Linked DNA regions of Arabidopsis thaliana. The protein of the gene in region 1 interacts with the protein of each later gene in a pairwise test. Each region holds a gene or a part of one and is shown on either strand. Other genes may lie near its edges.

What was found. The genes of interacting proteins can lie anywhere in the genome.
Region 2: the proteins of BRCA2B (region 1) and DSS1(I) interact in a two-hybrid assay, tested with the Arabidopsis thaliana proteins (one study listed by BioGRID).
Region 3: the proteins of BRCA2B (region 1) and DSS1(V) interact in a two-hybrid assay, tested with the Arabidopsis thaliana proteins (one study listed by BioGRID).

What each region holds. Positions count from the first base shown.
Region 1 is NC_003076.8:235,007-243,630, forward strand, and holds the start of BRCA2B (BRCA2-like B), read right to left. Parts: upstream 6,101-8,624; 5' UTR 5,906-6,100; coding exon 5,752-5,905; intron 5,666-5,751; coding exon 5,522-5,665; intron 5,387-5,521; coding exon 5,225-5,386; intron 4,981-5,224; coding exon 3,994-4,980; intron 3,902-3,993; coding exon 3,777-3,901; intron 3,690-3,776; coding exon 3,535-3,689; intron 3,374-3,534; coding exon 3,251-3,373; intron 3,179-3,250; coding exon 2,993-3,178; intron 2,919-2,992; coding exon 2,837-2,918; intron 2,738-2,836; coding exon 2,687-2,737; intron 2,601-2,686; coding exon 2,519-2,600; intron 2,420-2,518; coding exon 2,308-2,419; intron 2,225-2,307; coding exon 2,153-2,224; intron 1,855-2,152; coding exon 1,656-1,854; intron 1,588-1,655; coding exon 1,405-1,587; intron 1,119-1,404; coding exon 976-1,118; intron 903-975; coding exon 840-902; intron 751-839; coding exon 546-750; intron 443-545; coding exon 269-442; intron 177-268; and 2 more. Other genes in the region: PRA1.B5 (prenylated RAB acceptor 1.B5), read right to left, coding at 6,436-7,107; AT5G01650 (Tautomerase/MIF superfamily protein), read right to left, coding at 8,061-8,117, 8,242-8,442. UniProt on the Arabidopsis thaliana protein: Involved in double-strand break repair and/or homologous recombination by mediating RAD51- and DMC1-facilitated DNA repair. Plays an essential role in both somatic and meiotic homologous recombination.
Region 2 is NC_003070.9:24,051,750-24,056,015, forward strand, and holds DSS1(I) (deletion of SUV3 suppressor 1(I)), read right to left. Parts: upstream 2,160-4,266; 5' UTR 2,094-2,159; exon of another isoform or gene 2,004-2,093; 5' UTR 1,964-2,003; coding exon 1,870-1,963; intron 1,647-1,869; coding exon 1,524-1,646; intron 1,169-1,523; coding exon 1,038-1,168; 3' UTR 613-1,037; downstream 1-612. Other genes in the region: TUA1 (alpha-1 tubulin), read left to right, coding at 1-145, 232-547; AT1G64760 (O-Glycosyl hydrolases family 17 protein), read right to left, coding at 2,471-3,081, 3,164-3,663, 4,111-4,266. UniProt on the Arabidopsis thaliana protein: Subunit of the 26S proteasome which plays a role in ubiquitin-dependent proteolysis.
Region 3 is NC_003076.8:18,166,286-18,170,942, forward strand, and holds DSS1(V) (DSS1 homolog on chromosome V), read right to left. Parts: upstream 2,099-4,657; 5' UTR 1,937-2,098; coding exon 1,846-1,936; intron 1,297-1,845; coding exon 1,166-1,296; 3' UTR 721-1,165; downstream 1-720. Other genes in the region: AT5G45000 (Disease resistance protein (TIR-NBS-LRR class) family), read left to right, coding at 1-461, 552-720; AT5G45020 (Glutathione S-transferase family protein), read left to right, coding at 2,921-3,133, 3,214-3,390, 3,470-3,694, 3,761-3,889, 3,970-4,203. UniProt on the Arabidopsis thaliana protein: Subunit of the 26S proteasome which plays a role in ubiquitin-dependent proteolysis. Also associates with the TREX-2 complex that is required for transcription-coupled mRNA export.

The DNA.
Region 1 (8,624 bases):
GGCTTTAATAGATACAATCAGCAGAGGGCTAGATTTATAAACAAAAACTTAAGAGAAATGGTGTTGTGAAAAAAAAAAAAAAAAGAGAAGAGGTGGTGTATGATTTATCTTCAGCATGAAGGTGATTTACAAGCACCGATTATAAATAGGACTCTTTGCCGAAGTTCATGGATGACCTGAAAATTGAGCAAACCAAGAAGGCTTAATACAATAGAACAATCTTTTTGAACCGAATACTTATAGAAAGAGGAAGTCGACGAGAACGAACGGATTTGGAAGAATAGAGCTTAGCCCATGTTTGGATATGGGCACTGCGGGTTTTAAGGTGAGAAGAGTAGGCAGCTTCTGCGTTTATGAAGTAGACTGAGTTCTCTGTTGTCTCAGCAACCCACATTTCGTTTGTCGCATCCTTTGCTCTTTTAATTAGATTGCAAAATCCGACCTGCCAAAAATTAAGCCCACAAAGCATATATTTTTCAAACAATAATTTCTCGGTGCATATTCTCTCAGTGTAAAACTAGACAAATATTAGAATTTGTACATACCACGGATCCAACCAAATTATGGCTGATGTGGGAAACAGAGCTATCATCCATGAATGGGGTGCTGAAGCTTATAGCAAGAAGACTGTTTGAGATTTCCCCTGAATGTTGTGTGGATCCATCTGTCACAAACACCCACTGCTTCTTTTGTAGAACATCTGTGTATGCATCTCCAACATATACAACGTACGCAGCGATATCAAATTCACTGAAGGACATAATTAGAGATGATAGAGTATAGATTAGCAAAGTGCGGTAAATAGTGTTTTATAAAAAGCTTGGACTACTGAGATTAACCTTGACAGAGGAATTTCACCAAGATTTGACAAAGAGATTGGTTTACGAGGGTTGAAAAAAGGCCTGAAAACATCATCAGGGAAATTGAACAAATTAATGAGATAGATTCCAGTGTCTACTAAAGAAAACCACTTACTGAAAATTTTCAGAATCTTTTGGAGACAAAGGCTGCCATCTTGAGCTTGACCCTCTGGCATGTAAGTAAAGTGTTTCTGAATCTGAGTTCATTGGTACTAGCCCTTTCATTATGTATATTTTCCCCTCCGTCAGCTCGGTTCTCTGTCACAGTAGTAGACAATGATAACTGTTTTAAGAATCTACAAGAAAAAAGTTGAACAAGCTAATCGATGATGCTCTTAATGCAACAGTACAGTGATGGTAACGATTTTTTGATATGCATTTCAGTCCATTCGAGGTCCACAGCAACTCTGACGAGCTTATATTTGGAACTCCCCGTTCCATATAAGCTCATATGGATAAGGTTCGTGTAAACTTATAAGCCATTAGAAAAATGCCTTCTTTTAAATTGTGCATGAAACATTCAGATTTAGGCATTTGAATGTACCTGTCTCTCCGTGGGATCCCAGATTGTTACAATGCCTTCTTTTGGATTGTGCTCTCCTTCATTACTTAAGCTCGTCAGGCCAACAAGCCTAATCCTCATGAATGGGGTGACGTTCCTTTCACCTAAACCAGCGTCTTCCAGAGCTTTTGCCACTGATTTTTCCATCTGCATTTGCTTGGCTGCCTGAGGTTCAGATTGAAGCAGTTAATTACTGTAATCAATATATCAAGAAAAGGGAATTACTATTCTACCTCAAATTTTGCTTTATATGTAGTGAAAGATGTCAACTGCTCTAGGCTCATTTCAGCCATAAGAAGTTCAGGTTCAGCAGCCGTCTCTAACAGCTTAAAGACCTTGGCTCCTTCTTCGCTGTCAGTATCGTTTTGGCTGTGAACACCATTAATTCCTCTCTGGTACTCACACATAATACCCTCAACAAGAGCTGAGCGCCTACGGAAAATAGAAAAAGAAAGAAAGAAAAGTACGAATGAGAATAAACCATGAGGAACTGCAATCTTTGGCTCTTCTGTTGGCAAAACCATCCATATTCAGAAGGCCAGAAGCTTTTCTAATAAATACAAAGATTCTTTGTCTGTCCCAAAAACTACTTAGAACCCTAATATTGGTGTATGTAACAAATGTCTCTAGCTTTGATGAGTTAATCTGACACTTCTTAGAAAGTGATGTGCTAAATTGATCACATAAATGTTACTAAAAATTGCTACTCTACAGTTATAAGGAAACTTGCCTCTGATTATGCAGCTGTATAATTCTACTTTCTATTCTCTCTGATCGAACTATTGACTTCTTTTCACCTAACCTGTATACATCAAGAAAATATAATGCTTTGCGAGAAGTATAAGGAAGACCAAAGTGCATTAACAGGCACACATTTATATTGACCTTTCCTTGTATAGGATGGGGTATATTCGTGTGATGCCAGCTAGCGTTTTAGGCACTGGACCCCCATTGCACTTGATACAGTTGAAAGCCAGAGGGACACCAATTTCTTTACCTTGAGGAAGAGATTAAGAACGATCAATAGAAAGATAATAATATGAAAGCAATAAGAACTCAGATGATGTAGTGAGGTCCACAGCATAAAGCTACTTACAGAAGCCTAGTCGGTCCGCCCAGTGAGCTCTGTATGTCCCATTAATATTCAACAACAAACAGATTGTACTTGAAATCACTGCCTGAAAGTTTGGTTGAACGAAACTCTAAGAACAAACCAACCTGAGAAGATATCAGAAAATCTTATAAAATGCAAAGTCTAGGAAACCTCAAGTGGTGATGTTGGGGTAGCCCAGCCAGAAAGTCCTGCCCCGAGGATCTTCAGATAAGAGATAAGAACGTAAGCATGCTGCAAGTCAGTGATCTAACCAAAATCTGTGTTGCAAAACAAAGTATATCTTGCATGAATATAACTTACTCGAAGCTTCTGCCCCACAAACAATTTGCCAGCATTCAGCTGCTTGGTTAGCACGACATCCAGAGCAGCATTCATCGAGTACCTGTGATTTAAAAAAAAATCCTATGGAAATGAGACAAGAAAACAGGTAACAGAACAGCAGTAGCAATTTCATACCACCCATCAGTGAGTTCGACTTTCACATTGCTGCAATTATCAGAACAATGTGCTTCCTGAGAACCATTATCGGTCCTTGGATTAATAGCTGATATGCAGAGGACCATCATTGAAGAAGCTGGAGCATCACCACTCAGAATCCTCTTGATTGCAGAGCAATGACCATGATTGACCTCTCTCTCATATCTATTAAGAAGATTAACCATGTTAGACTTTGCATGAGTTTAAGTAACGAGTTGTGTTGTGAGACTGGGAAACCTGTATTTTAGTTCCTCAAGAACATTGGTGATTGTTAGAAAGTTTCCTCTGCATTTGGCTGGGTAGTATATGTCGTAGCATGCAAGTTTCCAGACTATCCACCTGTAGTGATTAGTAACCCACCTAGTGCATATGTAGTGATAGATAAGTTAATAGATATAGACATCAAACTGTCTATCTAATAGAGTGACAATCACATGCAAGCTTCAAACGAACAGTCACACACTTTTTCTGATATAATAAACATATAACACGGTTAACATTTCAAGGGACAGAGAAAGTACTTTCTGGATGCATGTTGTAAGGAAGCACCCGACTCAGCCAACATTTGAAGAAAAGTTTCAGCTCCAACCTTGTTTGAAGAAGACTCATCACAGAATACATATTTATCTGCATTACTTGATTTGATTCTTCTGACATGGTCTGGCACATAATCCATCTAAAACCACCTCGTAAATGTGTTTGAGTGAATGAAGAAAAAATTTATGTAACGCAGGAACAGGTGAAAGGGACAAAAAGATTTTACCCTGGTCGTAGCTGTCGGATGCATTCCAAAAAACTCCTTGATATATACTCTTGGAGACTTTTCTGGATATCTTGTAGAAAGTACCTTTTTGGAAGTAAGTGTATCACACGATACAACAGACAAACCTGATAATAGACAGGACACCAAAATTATAAATCTGAGAACCAACCAATTAGATTAACAAAAAATTAAAATTAAAATTAATCGTATATATTACCACTTGAAGCTTGCTGAGCATTTTTCTTTAAAGGAGTTTTAAAGGATGAAATCCTTGGCCTTTTGAAAGGAGAAACGGAGACTGTCTTTCCCAGCCTTTTCTTTTGGGTACTGTCTTGTTTATTGTTTGCATAAGCTGTATCTCTGCGATTTGTTATATCAACAAGTGGCTGATCAGCAGGCCTTCCAAGTTGCCTAGCTCTTGGAATGAAACCGTTTCCCTTGGAATTATTCACTGCCATATCTGATGCTAAAGGCCTGTTATTTGATAGTCCATGTGTAGCAGGTTTACTGATATTCAGAGCACAATTGGTCTCATCAACAGCCGTATCAAATTTCTTGATCAAATTACCCCCTGAAGCTAGGTTCTCCAAGTTAACTGATCTAAATTGCTTTGAAGATGAATGAAGAGGAGATACAAAACTATTTGACGTATGTTTGTTGCTTGTCTTTTCTTCATGAGCAATATAACCTGTGTTGACACTTCCATTGTTTATAGCAATATCACTTAGCCTTTCATCTTTCTGTGGTGTAAAAAATTGATCACCTCCAGCTACATCATCAAAGAAAGACCCTAACTCAGGGTCACCAAGAAGGTTTCTGGCACGTTTCAACGCCTCAGCTGACACTGACAATGATTTTCCACCAGCAGTCTGAAACTTTGTTGGAGGCACCTTTAACGATGGATTTAAGATTTCAGATCTCTTCCCAGATACATAATTCTCATATTGTCCTGGAGTTCCTGAATGATGCTTAACCACTGTAGCATCAAACTCCTCATGAGTTTTTAAACCGGACCACCCATGTTGCTGGAGGGAAGAAGACGACTGGTTCACATGGTTAAATCCATTCAAATCATCTTCTTCTAGTCCTAACAATGCCTTGGCTCTTGCTAAACCGGCAGAAGATACATTAACCTTTTTGTTGGAAGCTGTCTGAAAAAGACTGTTGGGAACACCAAACCCACTCTCCCTGGGAAGAACGTTGTCTACACAATCAAAAAGAATCTTATTAACAAATAAACTATGAAAAAATGTCACTTCTAATATTTATTCTCTAAACGAAGTAAGATGTGTGTTGATTAGTTCTTCACTATTCATCGTTTTATCTGATAACAACCAAACTCAAGAAACCTGGAAGTTGAACGGAGTAGCAGCACAAACAACAAGTTCATATGTAAATGCGCACACAGCTGGATATAAGACTTAAAAAAAGAGGAGATAAGAACACACCTGAGTCAATTATCATATCACTTCCTAGAATAGACAAAGGTTTGGCAATTGAAGACTCTTTCAAAGGGACAGTTTTCCCCAAGGCCGTCCTGAACATTGGCATAGTTTCAGCTGTATCCACTTGTCTCGTTTGGGGAATTGAGCAATTTGTGTTCTGCAAATCTAAAAGTGTAGCCAAGAACATGGAACATTCAAAAGATTTTCAGGAACACATATTCACCAACATTAAGTAACAATTCAAGCGAATTCAGAAACAAATGACTAGTCAAGGGAATTCAATACTGTCACATAAAATACCTGAATAAGCAACATTCTCTGCTAAAATGGATTTGGCTTTAGCAATCGAAGACTCTTTAAGAACTACAGACTTCCCCAGCCCAGTCCTGAACATTGGGATTTCCCCAGGCATCGATTCTTCCCGTTCTATAAGCTTCGAGCATCCTTGAAGCATCAAATAATAATTCAATCTCCTTTGAGTCACATGACAAACACGATTCGACAAAGAAAAGGAAGATACGAAGAATCACCTTGGAGCAAGAGATCGGCCATGGAAGGTAGAGGAGCTGTCGATTCGAGCGCCTTGGTTGGCGTAGAATCCGAGACGGACTGAAGAATCCGGCCAGCGACTTCCCACCGGAAACCATCGCCGCTGGAATCGGAAAATAAATGCCACGTCGACATTTATTCAGTTCTAGGGTTTCCAAGTTTTCCGATTCGTCGTTATATGATTCAGCCGGAGAACTAAACCTCGCGATTCAGAATTGCCTACCACGCCAAGAGGGAGGAGTCGGGAGTGCGGAATTTTTATTTTTATTGTTTTATTTTCTTTCCCCAAACCAAAATCATCACCAAAAATCCAAAAAGTTAAAAGTTCTGACAAAGGCGGGAAAGTTGAAAAAGATTTGGGCCGAAATTATGAGACGCGTGGTTTTATTTTAACTTTGGGCTTGGTTTTTACGGACATAGCGTTCCAAGACAAGTGTGATATTGCCACGGCCTTTTATTGCGGTAACTAACGGCACGAATGCTAACCCGAAATCGTTCCAAACAATAATTGCTTACGTGGACATTTTAAAACATCTGTTCAATGTGATTGGTGACTGACTTCAATGAAAATTACATTGCAACAATGGTCAAGTATCACAGAAAATTACATTGCAACAATCTCCACCTTCAAATCTCTAAACACGCCAGATTCTGAGAACTATAATTTACACGGGGGAAGCCGCTGAGGAGGCAGAGGGTGCTACAGAGGGGATCGCGGGAACACCGATGAATGAGAGGAATCCGGAGGCGGCATGATCTTGTTCGTCGAGGAAGAGATCATCGGGAGCTCTAAAGGCGCCATGGACACAGATTGTTGCTATTCCGATCATGAGAGCGGATATCAATACAGATCCGACGCTTGTGAAGAAGATCACTGCGATCGTGGAGAGGATTAGGCCACCGAGAGTTTCGTATTCGGAGAAAGATCGGCCGAAGAGGATAAGAGGACGATCTGATGGACGGAAGAGGTAGAGGAAGAGCCAGGAAGCGGCGAGACATAGGAGGAGGATGAGAGAGAATGGGTGGGCGAGAAGAGAGAAACCAAGGATCAGAGCGACAATGCAAACGTAATTCACCCTGAAATAAGAGGAATTTTTCCGGAATCGCGTCCCGGCCTCGGAGAGAGAGTCAGGCTTTGTGAAAGCGGATCGATCGAGGAGCTCTGACCACGGACGGCTACGAGATAGACCACCACAGACCGTCTCGGTCACACCGTTGACAAATGCACGGACGACTGGAGGTTGCGATTCCACCACAGCGGTTACAATCGGAGGCTGATTGGTGGTGTCTGTTGCGGTGGTGGAAATTGGAAGAACAGGGGGATTTGTTGACACCATTCGATTTTGTTCTTTTGGGATTTTGAGATTGGAAAATTTTAGGAGACGAATGATTTAGAGGTTGCTGAAGTTGCGGTAGTGTTATGTATATATAGGATCACAATTACGCGTCTTTCAACTTTGATTATACACCTTGCTTCATCTGATAGCTAATCTATATTCATTTGCTAAAATAAAAATAAAAATAACCTCCTGATATTATAACTCAGGTTATTTTTTTGCTTAACGTAGTTTATACAATAATTCTTGATTACTTAGGCAAAGTGCATTTGACCATTAATGTTCCAGTCACAGGAAGTTTCCCTAATAGAAAATATTTTTAACACAATGTTGATCTGTCATATGGAGTAGTAGACTTGACAATGTCAAATCCTTTTTTCTTTGATAACATTCATCTTCGAATTCTAAACATAATTATATCTAACGAGTAGACAAAGACTAAATAACCATTGTTTACCCTGATAGTAAGTTGTAGCATCATATATAGCATAAATGTTATTTCTTAATGCAACTCCATCAAACCTTAGATATGTTTACAATACGAAGTAGTTCAAAGTTACTTGATCGATGAGAGTAGATCATACATTTCAAGACAATCACACTAATCACCTACCACGGAATTAAAGAGTCGCCCCGTTCCAACCAAAGAAGGATCCCTGCAAGAAGAACCACACGAGAAAAGAAATGTATAATTGATATATCAGGTGGTTATAGGCATAAACACTCCAGATGATGGATGACCCTCTAAGCCAGTTAGACAACGGATTTAGAGAAGTTGAACGAATCTCCTAAATAACTCAACAGTGTGGGTGTAAAGATTGAATTCGAGTAGTGGAACGGTTTATGCATTTGATTTAATTGTTTATAATGCCTAGTTTATGAGTAAAAGTTATAGGTCCGTCTTATGATGATGAACTTACACACATAAGATGTATTTGTTCCCTATTCATGACCTAGTAGTGCTGGTGTAAAGCGTGTAAACATTGTGCATATTCTTGACTTTGATGGTCCTAGAGAGACAACGAACAATGAAAATGAGACATGGACGCATATCGGGCATATGAAATCATTAACACATTTGCATATGTTATGTCACTACATCAAAAAAGTTATCAGAGAGAGGGAATTGCTTGCCTTGGTGTCATAAAACTTGAGGAAGAATCGAGACTTGGGCACCGATAGCTTAGTCTCAAGAATGGCGGAAACAGCAGCGCTTAGCTTCTTGTTCACATCCGCATTAAGGCCACCGATAGAAACTAATTCACCATAAGCTGCAGGATCCTCGGTCCCGCCAAATGACATAGGCACTGAGCCTTTCAAGACAATCATCACATACTGCAAATTACCACAATGAACAATGCAATCAGATAATGATCTAAGAAACAACATTACAGGACAAAAATATTTAAACATCACTAACATAAACAAGCAATCGTCAAAGCAGACCAATATTGTTTTTGAAAACAAACTTCAGCAATGAGAAATTCAAGGGCCAGGAATGGCCTAGAAATCGTGGT
Region 2 (4,266 bases), on another chromosome or scaffold:
CCTCCAATATGATGGCTAAATGTGACCCTAGGCATGGCAAGTACATGGCTTGCTGTTTGATGTATCGTGGTGACGTTGTGCCCAAGGATGTCAATACAGCCGTTGCTGCCATCAAAGCCAAACGAACAATTCAGTTTGTTGACTGGTAAAGAGCTCACACTACTAGTGTTTCTTTCTCTCTTAAGTCTCCTTCTACTACACATTTCAAATCTTTGGTCATGTTAAAATTAGGTGCCCAACTGGATTCAAGTGCGGGATAAACTACCAGCCGCCTTCCGTTGTTCCAGGTGGTGACCTGGCTAAGGTTCAACGAGCGGTTTGCATGATCAGCAATAATACTGCAGTTGCTGAAGTGTTCTCACGTATAGACCATAAGTTTGATCTCATGTACTCCAAAAGAGCCTTTGTCCATTGGTATGTAGGAGAGGGTATGGAAGAAGGAGAGTTCTCTGAGGCTCGTGAGGATCTTGCTGCCCTCGAGAAAGATTATGAGGAAGTTGGTGGAGAAGGAGCGGAGGACGACGACGAAGAAGGCGATGAGTATTAGAAAGACACAAGAGTGTGTGTTCCCTTGTTTCTTTCTTGTGAAGTACAGTAATTATGTCTTTGTGAATGTGATCTCTACAGTTATTTTGTGATGTTTACGGGTCTCTCCCCTTTTATTTCTCATTTGTGTTTACTAAAGGATTGCATTTCTAGTGCATCTCAATACATAGTTTGAAGGATTTTTGGCATTTCAAATACCGTTTACGCTCTAATAAAGATCCTTGTAAGAAAATGTACATAGTAAGTTAGTAACTAATCCATGTCCATACGGAACACACCGCAATGGATGTTGAGAGAAGATGATGATCTTACCAGTTTAAATTTATCATCTTCAAAGATAAGAAATTTCCATCCAGGGAATAGTAAAATGTGCAAAGGAAAAGCAGAACCGATAACATAAACCAAAGGATGCAGTACAAACAAAGTTCCAGATCATAAAAGAAAACCAAGATTTCCTAAATGTGAAGACCTGTCTTTCACAATCTTCGACCTTATTTCTTGTCAGTACCATTCTCAAGCTCCTTCCTTAACTGACGTGAGAAGTCGTCATTGACATCATCATCATCCCAGTCATCTTCCCACTGCTGGCTAACTTCCTTCACTTCTTCTTTCTCCAACCAATCTGCCCAACATAAAAAGATCCATCAGTATTTACTTTGACCGTAAAAGGACAGCAAAAACATCCATTCCACATCCAACTACACAACTCATACAAACAGAAACCCTCTTTATCAATTCTTTCAATAAAACTATTAGTAAAATCACAAAGCAAAATCTGTTAAACCTTTAGGCTACTCAATGCCCTCAAATAATTCCCAAATCCTCAATAACCTTTAGGCTTTAGTAAATGAAGCGTTGACTATTAAGACTAAACCTAATCATCAATAAGTTGCTGAAAAAAACTGCTCTTTTATCCATTTAGTAAGTATGAGACTATAGCTTCATTGTTAGAACTATATGAAAAAAGATCTATCAACCTATCTCACACCTGAAATTGACATCAAACAGATTCGTTTTCATATCAGACCTACTCAACTCATACACTAGTCCATCTTTATCAATCCTTTCAATACAACTACTAGTTAAATCTGAAGAATCAACTAACTTGCAAATCAAAATCTATTAAAATCAGAATCTGATACAATTCATACAAATAATTCTCAATTCAACCATATAAAGCATTGCCTGTATCTATCAATCAGTTGCTAATGAAAATCGCTCTTATATCTATGGCATCGTAGCTTCATCGTTAAGACTATAAAACCGATGATGAATCGATTCAAAAATCGAAGAAGAAACAAGTAATAACAACAAAAATTTTACCTTCGTTAATTTCAAATTCCTCGAACTCATCGTCGTCCTCAAACAGATCCATCTTTACTACTTCAGCAGTCGCTGCCTTCGGTTCTGCCGCCATAGTTACAGATTGTTAAAGGAACCAACCAGATCGAGATAACCTAAGAAGAAGAAGAGGAAGACGAAAACTCGATAAAATTTTCCAAGTTATTATTGCAAAAGCATGGAATTGATAATGATGAAACCCTAACCTCTCTGAGAGCTTTAACGAGAGAGTAAGCGAACTTTTGTTTTTCTTAAGAGAAGAAGCAAATAATAAAGGGAAGGTTTTTTCTTTTTGTATAGAACCGGTTCGACCGTGTTTTCCTTTTTGTGAATTTGTAAAATTTGATGGTTTTCTATTTATTTTTTAATTGCTAAAAGAAATTGTAACATTAATGAATTTGTAAAATAAAACTGTAGTGTAAAACTGTATTAAAATATCGATAGAACAAGTATCTGGATATTCCGATTTATCTAGGATTCAACTTCTAAGAACATGGACAAAAGAATCATTGTAATATATATATCTGTAAGAAAACAATTAGGCTCACAAAACCTCACTAAGTTCAACAAATTCAATCTAACCTCAAAACATCATCCCTGATAACAGAAACCAAACGATCAACACAACCAAAGAATAAGACGAACAAGAAAAAGAAGAGGCTGAGGAAGCCACAATCTGAATAGGGAAATTGCATTGTCCTTGAGATATATTCTGCGTTGTAATGGTGGCCAAACCTTGAAAATAGCAAGCACTCTCATCTTGATTCTTCACTTGAAAGAACATGTTAAACGCATACGACGCGTTTCCATTTGCATCAAGAGTATTGCAAGAAGATCCGTATCCAAGCGCCGTGCAATCAGAGAAAGTGCAGGCGTAATCTATATTAGCCGCGAGTTTTGTCAAGTCCTTGGCTTCTGGATTAAACGTACACCACTTGTTGGGTAGATACGGCACGTTTTGTGCACCAATCAAGAACTTACTCTGTCCTTGACCTGAAAGATCTATAGGAAACTTTGGTTGCCCGTCGAATTTAAATATTCCCCAATGGCGTTCGAACGGTCCCGGTGCTATACTTTTTGCATCCTCGTCGAGTAATCCGAACAAGTATACCTCAATGTAGGTTGGTCTCAATGGAGTTCCTTTGTTTGTTCCAAGCCTCGGTAAAAGCCCGTTGTAGAATCTGTAAGCACTGCCTGTGAAAAAACCGTTTTCAAAATCAAAACTAAAACACTTCATAAAGGATAAAAATCCATCTAAAGAAGGTCAGATATCAACCTGCATTAGCGTGTTTGTCACCCTCTGTTGGCCAACCAACTTCTCCAACGATTATTGGCATATCTCCGTGACCAACAGCTTTCAAAGACGACACCAAAGTATCGAAATTGGCATCGAAAACGTTTGTATAATCAATACCGTTGTCGTTTATCGGTTCAGCACCATCGAAGAAGGCGTAGTTGAGTGGGAAATCATCATTCCCATAGAGACTTAAGAAAGGGTAGATGTTAATTGTGATGGGAGCATTGTTCTTGCCAAGAAAGTCAACAATCTGAGTCATTTGACCGATGATATCGGGACGGAATCTTCCTGCAGATGGAACGGGATTGCTTGCTGGTGAATCGTATACATCCGCGTTTAAAGGGACTGTTGCTTTGACAGAGTTTCCTAGTCCGGCTTCATTTAAAGCGTTTTGAATGTTCGCAAGTGCAGGGAATGTGAGGTTTATGAACGATCCATTGTATGATTTGAGGAATGGCTCATTCCCAACAGCTACAAACCTGAAACACATCCACAAGTGATTAGCTTCACTGAGACATGTAAACACATTTTTCTCTAAACATGTTCTGCATTTTGACAGTACTGTTAAAAGATTTGACTTTTATAGATATAAATACATTTTAGTGGAAACAGGTTCTGCATTTGACAGTAGTGTTAAAAGATATTTGATTTCATAATCAGACAACACAGATTTCACCAGACATTGAAAATCAACCCTAAACATCCAATCTTCAGAAACAAACATATATAGCTAGACACATTTTGTCTATAGACATAACTCACTCATGGTTATGCATTTGGCAATGTCATAAACTAAACAACCATGGGTTTATGAGGTTTCGACAAACAAACACAAAGAATGTTAATTTTGACGTTTAGACAAACACTACAACCAATCAATAACAATAACATTGAGACAGAACAGAGAGGAAGAGAGACAAACTCACGTGATATTGACACCACCATCGAAGTTATAACGAGTGACATTCTTACGAACCCAATCTTTGGCTCGGTCGTAACTAGTCATAACCTTAAGCTGATCATTGGGAATAGCGACCATCACTTCAAGACCCGATCCAGCGAGTGCACCCATGGTTGTCTCG
Region 3 (4,657 bases), about 18 Mb from region 1:
CCAACACGTCGCCCACAAGTGTTTGTCAATTTCTGCAATGACGAGCTTGGCGACAACTTTATTAAACATCTCGTGTGGGCTTTGAGAGACTCAGGGATCAATGTCTTCAAAGACAGCTTCAAGCTTATAGGAAGTGGACAAAAACAAGAAGTGTTCATGAGTATAGAGAACTCGAATATCGCGCTTGCCATCTTCTCAAAGAGGTATTCTGAGTCATATCGGTGTTTGAACGAGCTTGTGAAGATGGAAGAGCTTGCCAAGGAAGGAAAACTCGTGGTCATTCCAGTCTTCTACAGTGTGAAAACAAACGAAGTGAGAAGACTTGAGGGAGAGTTTGGAATACATTTTAGAAACACAAAAGAGAGATTTGCTATGGAACCAATGATGGTTGAAAGTTGGGAAAAATCCTTGAAGTCATCTACTGTTACAGGGAGGATTGGCTTGAGCTTGGAAGCACACATGTAATAGAATATTTAATAGAACTCTTGTTTTGTAGTAAGATCGACTTTGTGGTAAGGTCGTCTAATCAGTTTCTTTCACTCATTTTGCAGGAACGAATTTGCTCTTGTCGGTGCCATTGTTAAAGAGGTTACAAGATTACTACCAAACTCTCCAAAGAAGAAGAAGAAGAAGAAAATTAGGTATTGGAGAAGTTTTCTTGAGGGCTTTGACTGCTACATTTATCTTTGCTGTCTTCATATACCCTATGCCTATGCCTGATGTGAACTTTTTGAAAATTGGTAAGTTGTTATTAGGCTTTCCGTTTTTGGTTGTTGTCTTGCACAAGATTTTATGTTAATATTAGAAACAAAATGATGTTTTCTCGCTTCTGGCTTGTGGACGCTAACACTATATGTAATGTTGTGACGCACATCAGCTATGTCTATTTGAATGTTATCTCTACGGTTATTTTGTGATGTACATAGTAAACCAATCCATGTCCACACCGCACTGTGTTGAGAGAAGATGGTGATTATCAGAATAGAATTACTATCAGCTCAAATTTATCATCTTCAAAGACGAGAAATTTGCATCCAAGGAAGAGTATAATGTGTAAAGGAAAAGGAGAACCGATACATGCTACGATAAACCAAAGGATGCAATTCAAACAAAAAAGCCAAGGTTCCCTAAATGAGAAGACCTGCCTTTCTCGCAATCTTGGACCTCATTTCTTCTCACTAGCATTCTCAAGCTCCTTCTTTAACTGACGCGAGAAGTCGTCACTGACATCATCATCATCCCAGTCATCTTCCCACTGCAGGCTAACTTCCTTCACTTCCTCTTTCTCCAACCAATCTGCCAAACATAACAATAAAAATATCCATCTTTATCAATTCTTTCAATAAAGCTATTTGTTAAATCTCAAGACTGAACTAACATTGCAAAGCAAAATCTGTTAAAATCAGAAACTGATCCTAGCTTAAGTTGAATTGTACAACTCTCCCCCAAGCTACTCAATGCCCCCAAATAATTCCTAAATCCACCATAACCTTTAGGCCCTTTAGCTCATGAAGCCTTGCCGATTAATAATGCAAACATAATCACCAGTAGTTTGCTCATAAAACTGCACTATTATCCATCAAGTTTATGAGACCGTAGCTTCATCATCATAAACATATATCAAACAGATCCGTTTTCGCATCAGAACTACCCAACTTCATACAATAGAGACTATCTTAGTTTGTATAAGACAGTGCAGAATCAAAATTTGTATTTATACCAAAACCTAATCAATCACCAAATCAGTTGCTAATGAAATTTGCTCTTATCTCCATTAATTTTATAACCGATGATGAATCAATTTCGAAAATCAAAGAAGCAATTAGTATAAAACAAAAAAATCACCTTCGTTGATTTCAAATTCCTCGAACTCATCGTCGTCCTCGAATAGATCCACCTTCACCACTTCGACAGCTGCCTTGGGTTCTGCCGCCATAGTTACAGATGTTTAAGCAAATCAACCAGATCGAGAAAAAAACCTAAGAAGAAGATCACCAAACTCGATTAATTCCTCCAAGTTAAACCCAACCAGAGCTCTTTAAACGAACCTTTTTTTCGTTTTGGGTCTAACTTGAAGAAGGGGAAAATTACCAATTTCCAATAACCGACCCGAATCTTATATGATTCATACCGAATCCGACCCGAATCTTATATGATTCATACCGAATCCGACCCAATATTAAAAATATCCGATTGAGGTTTAAAAGAAGCTGTTTTAGACCGGTCCAATAGTCGCATTCGTCTTGACCAAATCCATGACATACAAACCGGTCCAAAAGTTGTCACGCTTTCCCCACAGAACCCAGCTGAGTCAACTCGTTAGTCTGAGTTAACTCGCTAGGCGTGACAGAGCAGTGAAGACAAAGCAAAGTCCTTTTTCGGATTCCTTCTCTTTCACTATAAGATGACATCCCTCATTACCATTTTTCCTTAAAGCTCACTTTTTCTTCTTTAACCTTATCGCCACAAAACAGCGACATTCGACGCCAAATACATAACATCGTCGTCAACAGGTTTTGTCTCTTATCTTCTTCTCTGCATGAATCATGTTCTTGTTAGACATTTTCTGAGTTCTGGGTTTGATTTTGGCCCAATGATCCATAAATGTTGAAAATCATATTTGAAGGCTATGAATTATGAACATTTTATTTTAACCTTTTTCTAGCTCTAATGAGATAATTAAGTAAAACCCTACTCGAAATTTCTGAACTTTTTGATGCTTTGATTCGTTTCCTGTGATCCTTTACCTAGAGAAAATTGAGATTGATTATGTGACAAGTGACCATCTATAAGAAATCTCTCAAAGTTTTCAACTTTACTCACTCTATTGAGGTGAAAAAGAAAAATTGTGCATTCTGAAATTTTTATTCTTTTCGTTTGTCATGTGAATTTTCGTGTTTGATTTTTTATTAGTAGCAAAATGGCTAGGTCTGGGGTTGATGAGACATCAGAATCTGGAGCTTTTGTAAGAACAGCATCAACATTCCGCAACTTTGTTTCACAAGATCCTGATTCTCAGTTTCCAGCTGAATCAGGAAGATACCATCTTTACATATCTTATGCTTGTCCATGGGCTTGTAGATGTCTTTCTTACTTAAAGATCAAAGGACTTGATGAAGCAATCACCTTCTCGGTTAGTACAAATTCATTGCTCATATCGAATTAGAAGACTTTGTTAACCTGAAGCATTTCTGTTTTATTTGATTTGATTAGTCGGTTCATGCCATTTGGGGAAGAACCAAGGAAACTGATGATCATAGAGGATGGGTTTTCCCGGATTCGGATACCGAGCTCCCTGGAGCTGAGCCTGACTATCTTAATGGTGCCAAAAGTGTGAGAGAACTCTACGAGATTGCTAGCCCAAACTATGAAGGGAAGTACACTGTTCCTGTAAGTTTTGATCTCTTTGGTGAACTCTTTAATCTTTCTTTGTCCTGTTTCTTGAATGTTTGTTTTGTTATTATGTTAGGTTCTTTGGGATAAGAAGCTTAAGACTGTTGTTAACAATGAGAGTTCAGAGATAATCCGGATGTTCAACACTGAGTTCAATGGTATTGCGAAAACCCCGTCACTTGACCTTTATCCTTCTCATCTCAGAGACGTAATCAACGAGACTAACGGATGGGTTTTCAACGGAATAAACAACGGTGTTTATAAATGTGGGTTTGCAAGGAAACAAGAACCCTATAATGAGGTATATATCCCTCAATGTCTTAAACATTTGAACAGGGATTCAAAAATTGATCCCTTTTCTCTCCAGGCAGTGAACCAGTTATATGAAGCAGTAGATAGATGTGAGGAAGTACTCGGAAAACAACGATACATCTGCGGAAACACTTTCACTGAAGCAGATATCCGATTATTCGTCACTCTCATAAGATTTGATGAGGTATATGAGTCAACTTGTCTTCTTTGTTTCCAAATAGAAAATCCATCAGGTTCTTGACATCATCTTTTTCTGCGTTCCAGGTTTATGCAGTTCACTTCAAATGCAACAAGAGACTCTTACGGGAGTACCCGAATATCTTCAACTACATAAAAGACATTTACCAAATACACGGCATGAGTAGCACCGTAAACATGGAACACATTAAGCAACATTACTACGGAAGCCACCCTACGATAAACCCATTCGGGATCATCCCTCACGGCCCCAATATCGACTACTCTTCGCCTCATGATCGCGACAGATTCTCCTCGTGAAAGAAACAAACATCAAATGTCAATACTTGTGTGTGTGTGTGAAAACGTTTCAAGTCATGTTATGTTCTACATTTTGAGAAGTGAATGTATGTTTGGAGATTAACCTAGTTTTTGAAACACTTTGACACAGATCATTCTCTTTTATTTAAGCTTGTTGATATGCTTATTGTGTTGAAAGATGATAAAGAGAGAGAGGGAGAGAGAGTGTGAGCATGAAAGCTTTTAAATGACGTTTGAGTATGATCACACCATTTTGCAAATAAGATTAATAAAACCATTTCTTTTTGTATGATCACACCATTAATAAAACCATTTCTTTCTAATGTTTTTTTTTTTAATCTATTTCTTGGTTTTCTACTATAGATAAAACGGCTTCTTTATAAAGTAAATTTACAATGATTTGCCTTTTTCGTCCAAAAAAAAAGAGGGATACATTTAAAATGGTTTATGTTTG